Linked DNA regions of Daphnia pulex. The protein of the gene in region 1 interacts with the protein of each later gene in a pairwise test. Links are inferred from orthologs where the notes say so. Each region holds a gene or a part of one and is shown on either strand. Other genes may lie near its edges. The genes, in order: eyes absent homolog 1-like and homeobox protein SIX1-like.

The links.
Region 2: the proteins of eyes absent homolog 1-like (region 1) and homeobox protein SIX1-like interact in a two-hybrid assay, tested with the Drosophila melanogaster proteins (2 studies listed by BioGRID). The link is inferred for Daphnia pulex from reciprocal best matches to the Drosophila melanogaster genes eya and so.

Annotation. Positions count from the first base shown.
Region 1 is NC_060018.1:2,756,686-2,765,930, reverse strand, and holds part of eyes absent homolog 1-like, read left to right. Parts: intron 1-325; coding exon 326-375; intron 376-2,905; coding exon 2,906-3,180; intron 3,181-4,975; exon of another isoform or gene 4,976-5,001; coding exon of another isoform or gene 5,002-5,032; intron 5,033-5,154; coding exon 5,155-5,284; intron 5,285-5,608; coding exon 5,609-5,784; intron 5,785-6,087; coding exon 6,088-6,245; intron 6,246-6,488; coding exon 6,489-6,771; intron 6,772-6,885; coding exon 6,886-6,993; intron 6,994-7,838; coding exon 7,839-7,996; intron 7,997-8,296; coding exon 8,297-8,386; intron 8,387-9,245. UniProt on the Drosophila melanogaster protein: Tyrosine phosphatase thought to play a role in transcription regulation during organogenesis through its intrinsic protein phosphatase activity. The phosphatase activity was shown in vitro. Appears to function together with So and Dac in eye development.
Region 2 is NC_060021.1:1,423,973-1,432,270, reverse strand, and holds the end of homeobox protein SIX1-like, read left to right. Parts: 5' UTR 1-306; coding exon 307-435; intron 436-632; coding exon 633-1,028; intron 1,029-1,189; coding exon 1,190-1,497; intron 1,498-2,930; coding exon 2,931-3,231; intron 3,232-3,293; coding exon 3,294-3,383; coding exon of another isoform or gene 3,384-3,423; coding exon 3,424-3,672; 3' UTR 3,673-4,468; downstream 4,469-8,298. UniProt on the Drosophila melanogaster protein: Required for visual system development. May transcriptionally regulate genes necessary for optic lobe invagination and Bolwig's nerve formation.

The DNA.
Region 1 (9,245 bases):
TGAGTGAGCCTTCCATCATCCGCATATCTCTGGAGAGTGGGGGCCGGGGATGCGTCAATTGGATTTCTTGTTGATTCAATCCTAAGAGACTTTGCTTTGACGATGATCAATCCTCTTACGTGTACATCCCGTAGAGAGATGGGGGAAAGGCCACGACGGCCACACACACTTATGCGGTCGTATGTATACTTGAATGCCGGTGGCAGTAGGTTATGTTGATATTAGCCAAAAGTGACGTCGACCATATTTCCGAGCCACTTGTATCTAACTCTATACCAACCATGACATCATCTTAACAATTTTTTTCTTTTCAATTATTTTTCAGGTGAAACGGCCAAGAACCGACAACGACACCGACGCTTTATCAGCCGCAAGGTATGTACAATTCGAATTTTAAACCAATCAATGTTGACTTCATAGAAAGATGAAGATGATTCTTTCGAGACACTTTTTCTCGCTTACTTCTCTGGTGATAAATGTCACCATCATCTTTGAAATGGAGTCTCCTTCTCTATACCACAAACTCCTATAGAAAGAGACGCGTAGGAATTCTTGGTTTGGGTCCCATCGGTCAATCTCCGTGCGCTCTTAAAGAAACATTTCTCATCGTCAAGAGCTGGCAAATGAAAGCATCATGCAGTTACTCTTTAATTAAAATCACCTTTCCATTTCTGACGACGGGTGACATTGCGAGGTATTTCTCATAGCGGAGGTAGTCGGTTCATTAGGAGATGCAAATCGAGTGGCTATAAATCTACATCTTACATCCTTATAGCATGCATTTACAAGCATTTTTATAATGCCAATGCCACCGACTGTGTATACATCAGATGCTTGGAAGACGGAGATATATATGGGAGTGGGTCCGTTGGTCGATCTGTCTGGCTTCTGTCTTCCGTCCGGGCAGACCCGTCAAGATGATGATGTCTCTTCTTCTCGAGAGCTGTACAGCTAGTCAGAGCGGAAAAAATAAAAACGGAAAGAAGTTTGTTAGGAATTCTCTTTATTCTCCTCATTTCTTCCCTCTTCTGCCTCTTCTTCTTCTGGTTTTGTTTTTTCGGCCCATCGATTCGGATGTCCAGAGATTTCTTTCTAGACCTCTCCTTGCTCCGTCGAAGCGACCTGTCAAATAACATTTCAACGGCCAAGAGAGCGCCCTGATGTTGGGCATTTAAGAGTGAAAGAGAATGTCTTTTTCAAGCCTGAATGCTCGGACACTGTTGTTTGCTCGTCCGGTGTTCACCGTTATAGAAAACATGGCCTGTAGGAGCAGCAGCACACAAGTAGAAGAAGAAGAACAGGAAAAAAATAAGACGAGGAAAAGAAAATGGGGAAGAGAAGACACAAAAAAATAAGACGGACACCCTCGGTCTCTTGTATGTCGGCCATCGGCTACAGAGGAAGGAACACCGCCCTTTTCGCCCTCTTTTATAGATGTAGTAAGCCATGTTAGTGTGCCTCCTTCTATATACCCCCGCTGAGATTCTAAGAGAATGATGGGCGGGAAGGGCCGAACTTTTTCGCACATATGGCCAGCACATGTTTCCAATACTCGACAGTCCACACCAACAGTCCGGTGGAGAGAGAGAGAGAAAAAAATAGAAGCGACTCCTCTCTTTCTCTCAACTGACGATCCTGTTGTTGCCCTTTTTTCTAAAAAAAAATGTATACGACTGCTTTACATTGACACTTTGGAAACTGGTCTGGGAATTGGAATGAAATACAGGCCTGTATAGTCACAGCGCTACATTTCTTTCCTTAATGTGATGTTTGATTTGTCCTTTCACCGTATTCTTATTTCCGTTGCCTGTGCGTATTCGTTTTGGTTTGGAATTCCTGTTGTGAGAGGCTTTACGGTGTGGATTCCTCCTCTTGGAGGGAGGATATATGCTTTATAATGAGCCAGGCGCCTCGAAGAGTAATACGAGTACACTTCTTTTGTTTTGCTTGGTGGAAAAGAAAATTTCGGAAAAGTGTTGTTGGTTAGGTGTCGGGGCGAAGAGAAATGACGATCAAAATACGAACAACTTCAAAACGCGCTTCTATTTATTTACGTTACATATTATACCGTACACGTCACGGCTTTGGTTTGTTTGTTTGTTTGTTTCCTTCCTGGCTCCCGAATGTCGGGAACTAATAGGCTACCAGGAAACTATTACATTAATCTTAAATCCTAAACGAATTTTATCAAAAGAACTATACCAGCCAGAAAGAAAAACAATGTCAACAAAATCAGTGCTCCCTCGAATAACGACATACGGACAGAGGAGATCTTTTTTTTTCTCCCTGTTGTTATATTTGCAGTGTGTTCTTTTTGGGAAGTCTGAACCCTCAATGGTACATAAATCACTCGTCGTCGACCGAGTTGAGATATGAGCGTCGGCCTTTGTCCGAGTCCCTAAATCCAGCGAGTTGGCGATATTCGAAGCGCTCGCATCCAAGGATCCCGCCTTTTTCGAGCGAATGTTGACCAATCGCTAGTCGGAAAACGGTTCACATTCGCCCGTGTTTTACAACGTGATCGTGAACAGCACAAAAAGAATAGTTCCTTTTTTGGGGGGGAGCTCTCATAGGTGACCCAATTTATACCCGTCAAATCAGCACATCAAGGCGAGGAAAAAAGCACGTTGAGCTCTCCACGAATAGGCACGCGCCGTATTCTATTTCAGTACCTGTCAAGTTAAGTGCCATTCATCTTGCAAGGTGTTTGGAATCGCATTCGGTTAGATTTTTAGCAGCATTATGTGCCAGAAAAGTCAGAAATCCAACGTCTCGCGTATCGCTAATCAATCACAGGTGGCTGTTTTGTCGTTTTGCGGTCAATAGTGTCTTATTAAACTTCATCTCAAGTGTCTTATTTCTCAAAAATCTTACATGAAATTAATTTCTTCTGTTCCCTATAAAGCAGGCTTGGTGAAACCGGTCACGTGTCTAGCCCTGCCAGCCAATCAGAATCGACATGCGGATCTCCTGGTGAACAAGGCGGAGGAAGCGGAGGCGGAGGGAATAGCGGCCATCCGCCAGAAGGCCAATCGTCCATCCAGCAGCAGCAAGGAGGTTTGGTTGGACCCGGTCCCGGTAGCGGTTCGTTGGTATCCAGGACGATGACCTCTTCCACACCGACGTATTCGTCATCGCCGGCGTCATGGACACTGGCGACACCTTCAGACAATTCCTTAGGTAATACAAACGATGTCAAATGTAATCATACCTTCGGTATGAATTACAACTCGTTCTACCCGCTAACATTTTGTGTCAGAAGAATTCTTCTTTCCCACCTGTATTACTGTCGTCTTTTTTTTGTTTTTTGGTTAACCGCACTTTCTATGCGACTTGTTTTCCCTCCCCAAGATATACATTCTCCCACAATGTTTTGTATCCAGACATTGTCTCTAGTGCGGATGGATGCGAGCATTTGAAAGTCATCCCTCTTTTCCCCAGGTGGGTTGAAGAAGCGCCACGGATCAAGTTCGCGGCACTCACGCATCATGGATCGTAACGTCCTGTGTGCATTCTCTGTCTCCGTTGCTTTCTTATTCCCAACATCCAAGTGGTAATCGATCCTATTCCAGCTTGGGCTCCTATTCTTTCTTTTCTATGACGAACCATTCTGCCCGTCTCCCCGCTCTCTTCCGAGAGGCTTCATTTTCAATTAAAATTGAACTTGATTCGATTTACCTCCAGTGTGCTGCCCTTCTTCAGCTCCTCTTCATCATCTGTAGACGCCATCGAGTCTGACCCGTCATCCTTGACTTCCCAGTCACTGCCTCCTTCTTCTCTCCATCGACTCCCTTTACCCTCGTTGTGATGCATTTGATTCGATCAAACTATAGTCGTGTCCGCCGTAATAGTATTCGTTACACGTTAGGCCACACTTGGCTTCCTCTAACTATACTTGGAATATACGTACTTAGGTATCCCAGTCTAGAAAGATATACCGAAGACGTATCAAAGTATACTCGAATATATATTCACCCTAACTACCCCTCTCCACCAGAAGAGGAAAAAAAATAATAATAAAAAAGGCTAAGGGGGGAGGGGGGAAATGGTACGTCTCAAGTAACACTGTCCGTCCGTCCGTCTTTTTTTTTTCTTGTTATTTTTTTCTTTTCTTATGAGAGGGGGGCCTTTTTTTATTTCAACTATGTCTGAAACTTTTCCGCGACAGCTCACATTCAAAAACTGTAGGTTTTTCGTAGTGGGAGGGAAATTGATTTTAATCGAGTTTGTCGGTATAAAGAACACAGCGCCGGTATCTAGGGCAGTGGTCATTTTCTATCATTGAATTGTTCGTCGAGTGATTGTTATTGATTGCGAGGAGAAGAAATAATAATAATAAAACAAACAAAAAACGAGGAATATGCAGGCGGAGAGCGACCGAAATGTCAGCAATTTACGACGAATCGAACCGACATCAAGTGGCGATCAATCTATCCATAAATATAATCAGGAAATGGTCGATTGAGAATCTCGCCCATTCTTTTTTGTTCCCTTGAGCAGTGTATGGTACGTCTCTCTTATTTCAAACGATCAGCTGATCGTCAAAGAAGCTTGGAATGTGGGCACAGAGAAAGGGAGTGAATCGCGTTTGCCAAGAGCAATAGACAGACAAACGAAGCAGAGATTCAGATTAGGAGATGAGAAATCTCAGATTACACCAATATCACAACCATTTCCTCTTTATTCTCTCTCTCTCTCTATTTCTCTTCAGTCGATATGGCTGTTTCAATGGTGGACGAATGGCGATTCCAACAGATATTGACATTCCACTGCGTTTGATTTGCCATTTCCAGCGAAAGACACCAGATCGAAACGTGTGTCCCCACGTCTCTCTAGTTCCTCTGAATTTGTTTGTTCACCGGAACCCGTGCGGAAATACTCGCAGACTGCGTAGACACTCTGTGCACATGTAAACGTACAGTATGGAATTTGGTGTTGGCTTTTGTACCGTGTTGGGTCTGAATTCGTTCAGTCCGTCGCGGATCTTTGAAAGCGCAACGAATGAGTCAGCGTCGATCCAGTCTTTTCATCTGTAAGCTACGCACAAAAAGTTCCCAGACACCACAGGCTATTATCGATGACGGCTGGAAAACATAAAAGAGAATCAATCAAAAGGCATTCAAATTAACGATCCTTGTTATTTTGTTTTCACAGTGAAATCCGAACTTCTTGGAGCCTCGTCTGAAGGCCATCTCGGCTCTTCAGATTCGCCCTTCGTCAGCGACGCTCTGGCTGCCGTCACCGGTGACTACCAATCGGCCTACGCTGCTTCCTATTACAGCAGGTACGATCCAAATAAGTGCATGTGGGATTCATCTCTCAAGACAATCAAATTAATAAACTGGAGAAGGAAACGTGCGACTTGGCATCGCTTGACAGGGGCTGGTGTAAAACGGCCGTTGTTTTGGGGGGAACGCGTTTATTAATGCAGACGTGTCTAAAAAAGAAAACAGTTGGCTGTGATAATAATAATAATAATGGAATGCAGCGGCGTGATGTTGTGTGAACGACCTCGTTGAAATTTCTTCATTTCCTACTTGTTTTGTGGCTTTTCATCAATGCCTCCGTGCGTTTTTTTTTATTTGATTCGTTTGTGTTATCATTGCAGCGCGATGCAGGCCTACAACAGTCAGTCGACGTCGGCCTACATGCCCAGCAGCGGATTTTACAATGGCGCACCGTCGCAGACGCCTTACGGAGTCCTAGCGCCCTCCACTTACACAACGATGGGCGTGCCTAGTTCAAGAGCTCTAGGCCAACAGTGCAAAAATGGTCAATCATTAGGTGAGTTTTTGAACAAATTTCATTCTAGGGCTTTTATTTTTCAGACACTTATAGGCCAAATCGTTGGTTACATCATTTAAAAATCAAAGTCAGAGTTGTGGCACAGATCAATATCTTGCTGAGTCAGAGTGAAAACGATCTGTATGACGACAGAGTAAATAGTTAAACTATTTCGTGATCCAGCATCCCTATTTGTGGAGTTCACTGACCGCGCGAAACACAACTTAGACTGTTAATTTTTAAAAAATGTGACCGTTTCGCAAGTGGTTCAATATCCTCATTGTGATTTTTTGTTTACCATAGCACAAACGCCTCCGTATTTGAGCTCGTACGGGTCAGCATTCGGAGGCGTCACTGCCAGCAGTTCGCCGTCGGGTCCGCCCGCCTACGCCTCGGCTTATGGATCGGCGTACAACAGCGCCGCCGCCCAATCCTTCAGCAACAGTCAACAAGTTCCAACGGTATGATTTCCTATATGATTAATACGTCCCTGTGATGTAGGCGATATCGTAGGCCTATAGACTCTATGCGGGGTATAGTGTCGGGACCAAGGTGTGTCGACGACCACCGCAACAAATTTGTTTGTCTCTTTTGCAAAATAATCCGATGATCCGATAAGTATTGTTACAATAATGGGAGACTGCCCAAGTCACGATGTCGTCACACGTTCACCGTGTTTCCTTTGTTCTTGTATGGTTTCGCAGGGACTCGATTACGGTACGTATACGCCGTACGGCCAAGCCAGTAGTTACGCGTCCTACTATGGCCAGAGTTACGCTCCCTATGGCAACGGCAGCGTCTCTGGCACAGCGTCGTTGCCCAGCCTATCGCCGACCGGATTGCCGAGCCTTGGTGGAGTCCCTAACCCGACCAGCGCAGCAACCAACAGCAACAATGTCTCTGCGTCAACAACCAATTTCACTTCGGCTGGATCCTACCAACAGTTGCCGCACGCTAGCCTGACATCAGCTTCCTCTTCCCTCTCAGGTTTGAAGATCCCTACAGGATAAACCCAAACAAATCTAAAGAAAAACATAATATGTAGCAAAATCCGGTAATAACGACTTTACTCTAATGGTCTCTTTCGTGTTTGAAAAGCAGAGAGTCCGCCGTATCCCGTTGTGGAGAACAGCAGTCCACCCCTGACAATCAAGAGCGATTCGACCCCGACCAACAACTCTCGGAGGAGTAAGGAGACGTCAGCCGAAGGTCTGTTCTATACGCTAATAACATTACCTACATACTACGTACGCTTGTTCTATCTAAAATACGTTAGGGTATATTTCTGCTTTCCATATAACATTCGATATCCTCCGGCATTAGCTGAAAAACCTATTACAGCATAAAAATTGAAACAAAAATGAAACAAAGAGAACATGATACGTATAAAGTATAGAAATGATTCGAGAGAAGAAGAAGAAGAAGAAGAAGACGAATAAGAAAAGTGTACGTAGAGCTGGTTCAAGGTTGGATTGGTCTTTTTTATCCCCGTTGCCTCCGTGTGGATGGTTTCGTGCGGGTGCGGGTACGAAGCTGGCTCTTCCTGTTGCACCGACCACGACTGCATCGGTGTCCACTTACCGGACCGCGCTCCTAGCCTCATAGTTATAAGAACTTAATACTTTTGCACTGGGTTGGACGGTCTTGGACGGTTCACGACGTGCAGCTGACGGATCGTGTTCAGCATTGTTAGCCAATTTTTTCTTCTTCTTCTTGATTTGATGACTGCACACAACTCCCGAGGGCTCCATCGTTCATCATTCCCATTGTGAGCATCATCGGCATTCAAAAATCTGCGCAGAGCTCTGAGAAGCTCTCCCGTTCACTCACGCCGGATCGGGTTGCTTCGCCGAGTCGAAACGTCTCTTTGAAATGAGCACGGCTCCTCCTTGACGCTGACATGGGGGCTCTCTGACATGACAAGAAATTGTCGTTGTGATATTACCGTCCTTGTTGAAGCCTAAACATGTTTGCATGCGAGCAGAAATAGACGCAGTTCACTGGAAAATGAATGTGATGAGCGTCTAATACATTTGGCTTTTCTCGTTTCCCAGGTGGATCTAGGAGCGCACGAAATAGAAACCGAAGAGCACCAAATCCGTCACCAGACCCCGAATCAAATTTGGACCGTGTCTTTATTTGGGATCTTGACGAGACCATCATCATTTTCCATTCATTAATGACCGGATCGTACGCCTCCAGATTTGGAAAGGTAACAATACAACACCACAAATTGTGATGACGCTGGCAGTTAATTATTATCGCGCGAGATTTCTGACACAACTGAGACCGCCCTCAACATCTCCCTTCTCTAAGCGCGTTTAACGTGTCTGTTTATCTGTCATGTCAAGCCTGTCAGAGCAAATGAAAATGGCTTGTTTTTAAAGCTGCTTTCGTCTTCGCGCGGGCGGTACTCTTTTTAACTTGTTTCTTGACGTGTAACAATTTGAAAAAATTTTTTAACTCCGCAAGCTCGTTAGTTTCAATTTTCCTATTTCATTGTATTTTTCAGGACGTTCCCGGCTCGATCCAGCTCGGAGTCGGCATGGAGGAGTTGATTTTCAACCTATCCGATACTCATTTCTTTTTCAACGATTTAGAGGTTAGTTGTTTATTTTTTAAAAAATGTTTCTTCGGTCATTTTCCCCCTAGTAACCGTGTTCCAGATTTTAAGCCCTCTATCTTTCCTTACTGGATTTAGATACGAACGCAAAGTTAGGGTATTAATTCACGCCGCTAGATGGTATTGTTGGTTGGAAAGCTTAAAATGTTCAAGGAATCGCGGCCCGTCTGATGCGCATCTTGTTTGGAAGAAGAACAAGAAGGGAAAAAAAAAGAAACACAATAGTAATTTTTTTTAGAATGACGAAGCTGGTTGCTGCGACTATCACTGTTAAATGGCCGCCAAATCTCCCGTCATGACGGAGGAAGAATAAGAAAGAGGAATCAGAGACAAGAAGCTACGCCGTCAGAAGGCGGATCCCAACACAACAAATGACAGTTGTCTCCCGCGCTCCGACAGCATTGGAATCACGGCCAAAAGAGAGACCACAAAACAAACAAATGTGTCGTAGTAGTAGGAAAGGAAAAGCCAAAACAGAAACAATTATTCACGACGGGTGTTATTAGAACAAGAATGGAAACTTCGTGACGTTGTTGATGGGGGGTGTCGCGGTGATTAAAAAACACGAACCGAACAACAAATACGGGAGTGACTCTTGCTTTCGTTCAAAAAATTCTTGTCAGATAGGGAATTTGTTTGTTTTTGCATCCTTGGTTTTTATTTTTTTTTTTGCTCACGGGCGGGAATAGATTCATCAAATGGTTATATAATTTAATCCGTCTGAAGAAAAAAAAGAGGCTGCCAACTTTCGACGGTCCCATTTAGGACCGTCCGCTGGTTTTCTTATCTGGGCTTCGTTTTTGCTTCATTGTTCGTCCGTCGCTCTTATAACGCACCT
Region 2 (8,298 bases), on another chromosome or scaffold:
TGAAACCCGAAATTCTACACAGTTGGAAATAACTACCGGACAGATTTATTTTTAAAAAATTTGGGATTTTTATAATATGATCCGATTATAATCTCCAATTCAACTGTCATCTTTAATCTTATAGCCAAAGGAAAGCGGCTTATTATAGATGTGTGTCTAACTCAATTTGGTGGCCCGTCAGCTGTCCAGCAGCACGTGTCCGTTTGTTCTGTTATAATCATCGAAAGAATCAAAAGAAATTGGAAAATAAAACTATAAAAATTACGTGGGGGAAGTTACAACTTTTGATCGAATCAAAGCCGATCGATGATTGTCGGTCCGTCAGCTGCTGGAGGCATGTCCGACCTGGTGGCACATCATCATCACATGTCCGGCTTTGCCGCCCATCACCACCATCACCACATGGGGCTGGGTGGCATGATGGCCGCCGGAATGGTATGATATAAAACATTTTTTAAATTCCATTTTTTATTATTATTCTGGTTTTTTAACGAATCAATGGCCGGCCCGGCCGTCACATTTAGCGACGGGCCGTCCGTCATTATTCCCAATCAAAATTTTTCATTTCAACGACCCAAAATCAAATGGAATTTTAAATTTAAAATATTATTTAATTATTTCAAAAATATTAGATGCCGGGAATGTCTTCGACGTCAACTGGGATGACGTTGCCCAGTCAATCTCCTCCTTCATCCAACAACAACAACAACAACAACAACAATTCGTCGTCTTCGGTTGGTGGGACGTCGTCGCTGAGTTCCGGCGGAAACGGCGGCGGTGCGGCCCTGCCGTCGTTCGGCTTCACGCAGGAGCAGGTGGCCTGCGTCTGCGAGGTCCTCCAGCAGAGCGGCAACATTGAGCGGCTGGCCCGTTTCCTCTGGTCGCTGCCGGCCTGCGACCAGCTGCACAAGAACGAGAGCGTTCTCAAAGCCAAGGCCGTCGTCGCCTTCCACCGCGCCAATTTCAAAGAACTCTACAAACTCCTGGAAACCCATCCATTCTCGCCGCACAATCATCCCAAACTACAGGTCCGTCCGTCTGCCCGTCTGCCCGTCTGCTGGGCAAAAAAATAAAATTTTTCCGTCCGTCTGCTGGACCAAAAATTCCAAAAATTGAAAAAAAATAATTTTTCCGTCTGCCCGTCTGCCCAGCAAAAATTAAATTTTGATTTTTTAAAATTTGATATTAGGCTCTTTGGTTGAAGGCGCATTACATCGAGGCGGAAAAGTTGCGCGGGCGGCCGTTGGGTGCGGTGGGCAAGTACCGGGTGCGCAGAAAGTTCCCGCTGCCGCGGACCATTTGGGACGGAGAGGAGACGAGCTACTGCTTCAAGGAGAAGTCGCGATCGGTGCTCCGCGACTGGTACGGCCACAATCCGTACCCGTCGCCGAGGGAGAAGCGCGAGCTGGCCGAGGCCACCGGCCTGACGACCACCCAAGTCTCCAACTGGTTCAAGAACCGGCGGCAGAGAGACAGGGCCGCCGAGCACAAAGACAGGTCCGTCTTTTTATAATATTATCTTTCATTTATCATTATAAGGCCGGCGCTAATTGGCCCGGCTTTTTATCTCAATCGAAATCAAAATCAATCTACTGCTAGCTGCTGGCCTAGAGAGAGATATAAAAGAAGTTGTTGGGGTTGTTGTTATGACTGGGCCAGCACACCAGTCAGAGTATATATACCAGCCAAAGGGACTCTATATACGCTGGCCGCCCTTTTCTTTCTGATGTATATATAAACTTTTGACTGGGCACACACACACACACACTGTTGTCTTAGATACACACTAAGAGGCGCCTTTTTTCTATCTATATTTAAACTCTTTGACTCTCTCGTCGTCGTCTTCGTGGCGTGTCGTATTTTAACGGCCTGGCCCGGCGCTATATACAACTGCTGGCCGAGATAGTTTTTAAAAGAAAAAAAAACCAAGTCGGCGCGACTGGACGTGAAACTAGACGGCCATTATTTTTTGGGGCAAAGGGGGGTCAACTGTGTATAGACATTTGAACTGGGCAACTGGGCCATTTCATTTATTCCCGGCCTTGTTTATAAATGTCCAGCATCAGGGGAATGTTGATAGGCCGTGCAGAGTTTGATGTTATTAACGTAATGGGTGGGCGGTATGTAGTAGACGGACAGACAAATAAGTGGGTTAGATTTTTGGTGCGGAGGGAGAGACCCTTTCAGCTGTGTCAATATTGGACGGCCCTTCTTCATTTTCGGTCTTTTCTCTGTGTGTAACCCGAGTCAATATTGTCGTTATAACGGTACATAAAGGACAACTTGATTTTCTAGGCCGTCAACCCACCCCGGACAAAAAAAAATAAAATTTTTGCCGGGCAAAAATAAAATTTTATTTTTAGGCCGTCCATTTTCGTATTTTTTTAAAAGAAATTCCCAATGTTTGACGGTTGATTTGGTCTGGCCAGTCGACGTAATGTTACGACAAGTAATCGGCTGATGTCTTTTTGTCCGTCTCTGATGAAGCGTGTAAGTATATAACGTACACACAAAAGAAACACAAAATTCCGGAGGCGCCCTGATGGTCTTTTTTTTCCTGCCCGTCTTTTTTTCTTTTTCTTTTCTGTCTGGGTATTATATAAAAATGTCAGTCAAACAAACAGCCCCCTCTGTTGAGAGCCTCACTTGAATGGAAGGGAATATAGAACCAGTTGCCAGCAACAACAGCAGCAGCAGCAGCCAGTCTGGCCGTCTCGCTGTGTGTGCGCAGTCACACACGGCCAACAACTCGACAAGGGGAAGAAGAAACCTGATCCGTCCGTTTCCCCACCCCACCTCCGCCCTTTTCTTCTTTTTCTTCTTTTCTGTTTTAATTTTAAATTTTTAACTGGAATCAATTTTAAATTCAATTGTTTTTTCCCGCCACGAATTTTTCAAATTTTTCAAATTTTTTTGAATTTGCCGCGCAGAGTGTCGGGCGGAAGTTCGGCCAAGGACGGCGGAGACGGCGCCAACGACGCCTCGGCCCTGGACGAATCCGGGTCCGAGTCGCTGGACGGAGACGGTCCCGACGTTGCCATGGCGACGTCGTCGCTGGCGTCGGCGCGTCACTCGGCCGCCCTGTTGGACACGCCCTCGCCGCCGCCCCCTCATCACATCCAGCACCACCACCACCACCATCACCACCACCAGCAACAACAACAACAACAACAACTCAACAACATGGCCGCCGCACTGGCCAACTCCCTCCCGCACCACGGCAGCAACCAGGTATAGAAATCATTTCAATTTTAATTGAATTCCAATTAATTTTAAATAAATAAACAAAATAGGACTCGCTGATTGGTGGCGGATCGATCGGCGATTTGTACCCGGACCTGAAACTGGCGTCCGTCTACCACACGAGCCACCAGTTGCAAATGGCGTCGGCGGCGGCGGCTGCGGCGGCTGCGGCGGCCGCAGCCGCCGCTTTTGGCTCGCCCGGCCACCACGTCACCTCGCACCACCCGTCGCACGCCGATCTGGCCCATTCTCTGCTCCAGCAACAACAACAACAATCGACCGGGCCTGCCCAGCAGCAGCCGACGGCCCACGACTACAACAATCCGCACGCCAATTCGTGACGACCACCGTAGATTTAAAAATTCAAAAATTATTCAAATTTCAATTGAGTTTATTTTCCCGCCAGAAAAATTCAAATTGATTATATAATTCCCTTTTTTTTTAAATTCAAAATTTCATTTGCTATATTTCGCCAACCTATTCCATTCCAAAAAGAAAAGATGTGTATAATCAATTTTTTAATTTTCATAAAAAAGTAGTATAAAACAATTTTGAAGCGGATAGGAATTTTTTTGTCAAAAAATATGAACCCAGTGATTGAATTTTTTTTTCCCGCTTTTTTAATTGGACAGCAAAACAAAAAGAATTCAATTGGCGCCAAAACAATAATATTTTATTGCTAATTTTTCCCTTCTCTCTGGCCTATTATATATATATCGAAAAAACGGATCGACTCATCTAAAACATTTTAATTCTCCATTTGAAAATTATTATTATTTTTTTTTTTCAAACGAAATTTTCGCGGTCCAATCGAATGATATATATTTAAATGACGGGGGGTTTTATTACATTTATATATCTTGATCAGAAAAAAAAATCAATTTGTTCTCTCCATTTTGTGTTTATACAGTAATCAATCAATCAATAATTTAGAAAAAACAAAAATGTTTTCTTGTCTAAAATCCAAACCAAAATCATCAGCTTTTTTTTATCTTCTGAATTTTAATTTTTCCCCAGACCCACCCTTAAAGAAAAAAACATTTTTTCAATTTTTTGTTGGTTTCAATTTCCTGGTGTTCGTATTATGTCATCAATTAGTGAATGTGTAATAATCTGTTGTTTTTTTTTTCTTTTGTAATGTGTGTCTCTCTCTCAATACTCGACTGCTGGACGCTGTTGTACAAAAATACCAAAACGATTTGAAAACAAAACAAAAATTCACAAATTGTTTCTCATAAATTCAGAAAAATTTATTTCATTTCCAATAAGAAAATGAAAACATTATTATTTTAAATTCAAATTTCTAAAAAATTAAATCAAGAAAGAATTAATCAGAAAGAAAATGTAATTTTTTAAAATATTCAGATTTATTTGTAAATTTAATTAAAAAAGAAAGAAATAATAATTTCTTGATCAAATAATTTTTGACATCTAAATTTCGACGTTCTTTTTTTGTTTTTTTTTTCGGTTTGTTACGGCGGACGGCGTCGTTGTCGTCGTCGTTCCGGTCGACGGGCGCGCCGCCGTCACACCACCGCCGCCACCGCCGCCGCATGCACAGTACATAACCAGCAAACAATAGACGTCCTAATTGGGAATAGAATATATATATATAAAAGAGGGGGGAGGGGAGGCCGGGGGGTGGAAGGAAGAACACCGGGAAGAGCTGCTGTGATGTTCATGGCCGGGTGACGCGCTCGTTATCGTACCTCACGACATATATAACAGCAGAAAGAAAGAAAGAAAAGAAGCGCCGCGGCGCCCGTTAACAGCACTGCTGCTCACCCTCGTTCCTCCTCTATCCGAAATAACGGGGTGGGAATATAAACGCGGGCGGTTATTGTATGCAATGGCGTCCGTCCTATATATGCAAACGCCCATGTAGAACACACGAGCGGCGAATAATAGAATCAAAGGCCAGTGACATGCAGCAGAGTTGGTGGTGGTGATGAAATCACAAGAGCAAAAGATTTCGTCTATCTCCTGCTGGTGGCCATTTCGAAGGTGCAAGTGTTGCACGCGCAGAGTAAATGACCGCCCCTTTTAAAATATATATTCCCCCCAGGTGTGTCTAATGATATGCAAAAATGTCCAAACTGTACACTGAACATTTCCAAGGACCAGCACAAACTGCTGGTGAATGTCAAAGTTCTTTTTTCTATTTTTATTTTTAGCTTGAAAATGTATATCAGAGAATATTGGCCAACTTTTCAATCAGGAACGTAAAATCAACCAACAAACGTCAAAGGGGCTACACACACACAACAAGAGACCACAGGTAAAAATGGGTGGGGTGGTGAGGGGGGCACGCGAGCAGCCGGCTGTGCCATTCATCCAGCAAAACACACAATATCTCTTTATTATATTTCGAGAAAAAAGAGAATAGAAAAACGGGGTGGCCACGATCAAACAATACGCAGCAGCACAGCAGCAGCACAGCCATCTTCTATATTATTTTTCATTTGAATTATATTTTTGATTATCATTATTATTATGTGAGGGGTTGCTGCTGCTGGCATCCTCCCCCCTTTTTATTATTATATCTGATGAAATGAGCTGTCACTTTGTTCTAATCAATCAGAAAAAATCAGTTCAGTTCATCCCCCCATCACCAGCCATCCAGCAACTCACGTGCCCGTCCCAACTGCTGGGCTGTGCGCACAGATTTTATACAATTGATTTCACTGGATGGCCCAGCACCTTTTGATATTTCCCGTTTGCAAATGTCAGCAGTAAAACCTTAAAAATATTAAACGTAACATCATTAAAACCTCTCCGCTTGCATAATCACACCTGGGGATATTATATTATATAAAAAGAATGAATTGATGTATGATTTAACATCCGTTTGGCTGGAAAATAATATAGGCCAGGCCGGGCCGGGCCGGCGTAACTGTGTTGTAGATTATTATTGCCACAAACGGCCACTAACTAGATACATCCTGTGCTGCCCTTGTTATAATATTACACACGTTGTGTGTTTAGTGTGCATATTATATAAGCGCAGCAGACAAAGTGGATGAATAGTTGGAAAAGTCCAACACAAGAAGAAGAAGTCGTATATAATCAAAAGGGGCCATTTAAAGTCTTTAAGTAAATACACAACGGATATCTATTTAGATTCTTTATTCCCTTTTTTGGCTTGGTTTATTTTTATATATAATGAAACTCTGTGATGCCGCCAGTGTGCTGTGCTGTGCTGCTGGGGTCTATATGTGCCAGGTGCTAATTAGACCGACCCGCTATATTTAACCCCCCTACCATAGTTTCTCCCCCCTTTTTCATTGTTAGACATATTCTTATATTTGTATTATATACCTGTGTGTGATTATAAACGTGTATTACACGCTATATAGGTATACTACTCTGTGTGTGTAAAAAGAATAAGGCGTGTTGCGTAATAATCTTCGGTCGTGTGGGGAGGACTTCCGGTGTTGAACTTTGGTTGAACTTTGTGGAAGAAAACGACGACGACCATCCTTTTAGAGATTTTTTTTTCCCAACTATATCCCATGACACTTTTTATTTTTTTAAAAATCTTTTTGAGATTTAATTTCTCTTTTGTTTCTTATTATAACGATTCGGTTCGGTGCTGCTGCTGTTTCCCTTAGTTATATTCAATTACTTTTTCTTTTCTTTTATAACGTGTGAAAATGTTTGCTCAGCCCTCTGTGCTTGTCTGTTATTACTCATCGTCCCAATCAGAAAAGCCCCCAAATAAATAATAACTGGGGAAGTGCATCACATAAAAATAAAAGAAAATAAAAGAAAAATAAGTGTTGAGAAATAATCTTCTATACATCAAAACAGGAAACCATATCTATAACTTAATGGGCTACACAGGCTATAGCTAGCTCTCGGCGCGATGATTATCACCTTTAATGGCGCTCATCCATTAAAAAATTGGAGAGAATCTAAATGGACAACACACGCAGAAATGAACAAAAAATTTATTTTTTTGGGGGGAGAAAATAATAATAAATATAACGGTCGTCCTGAAACAACAACAACAAATAAATATATTTTTTCCATAAAAATATAAAACCAAGAGAAGAGAGAGTAATGACGGCCCTGTTGAAAGGCTCTTTCTGTGGCTGGAAAAAAATCCAATTTATAATACTTGTGTGTATCCAATTATCATAAAACATACTACGTGTAAAAAAAAAAAACAAGAGATGGGAATGAATCCATTCGGCTGGAATAGACACACACACAGCAAACAATCGCTGCTGCTGTTCTTTTATTATAAGAAAATAACGCACAAAAGGTTTAAAAAAGAAAGAATAACAAACATTACAATACACACACACACATAGAGAGAGAGCCGGGCAGTTATTTAACCGCCATCAAACTGTATAGTATATAGTAGATAATACCGGGCGCGTGTTGTATCTGATTCTTATAATTTCAATAGGGTTTTTATATACATTTTCTTTTGTGTGTCCGTCGCAATCGTCTTTTTTGAGTCTTGTAAGTTTTTGGGAAGAGCTACCGGGCCGCGCGTCTTTTCAACGCCGGACCGTCAGTCTGGTGCCCATTCAACGGTGCTGTTGTGGGTATATACATTAGTGCACTATACTGTGGATGAATCTCTCTATAATAATGCCAGCGTAGGCCTACAACAAAAACGGCCAGGGGTAAAATATTATAAGAATCGAAAGGTAAACAAGAGATTATCTCTCCAAGGCGCTTCTATTCAAAATCCCCTTTTCTCTTTTCTTTATTCCCCCCTTGTATATATAAAAATACAATTCCTGTTAGTATAGTATAGTAGATGAGCCGCTATATTTATTTTATATATATAGTAGCTATATAGTGAGCGTATTAGGAGCATTAAAGGATTTTTTCCCTTTTTGTGTCGTTGTCCATCAACAAACGCTGTGGGGTTTTTCGCGTTTTATCTTTTGTCTATAGTCCGCGGTTATAGTATTTGAGTTGTCTGTTATATTTGGGGGTTAATATTTGAGTCTATATCTACCTGCTGGTCTACATGGCGACAAGTTCAATCGTCACTTTTAAGCTTATTTTTAAAGCCTTTCGACGATGTTTTGACAA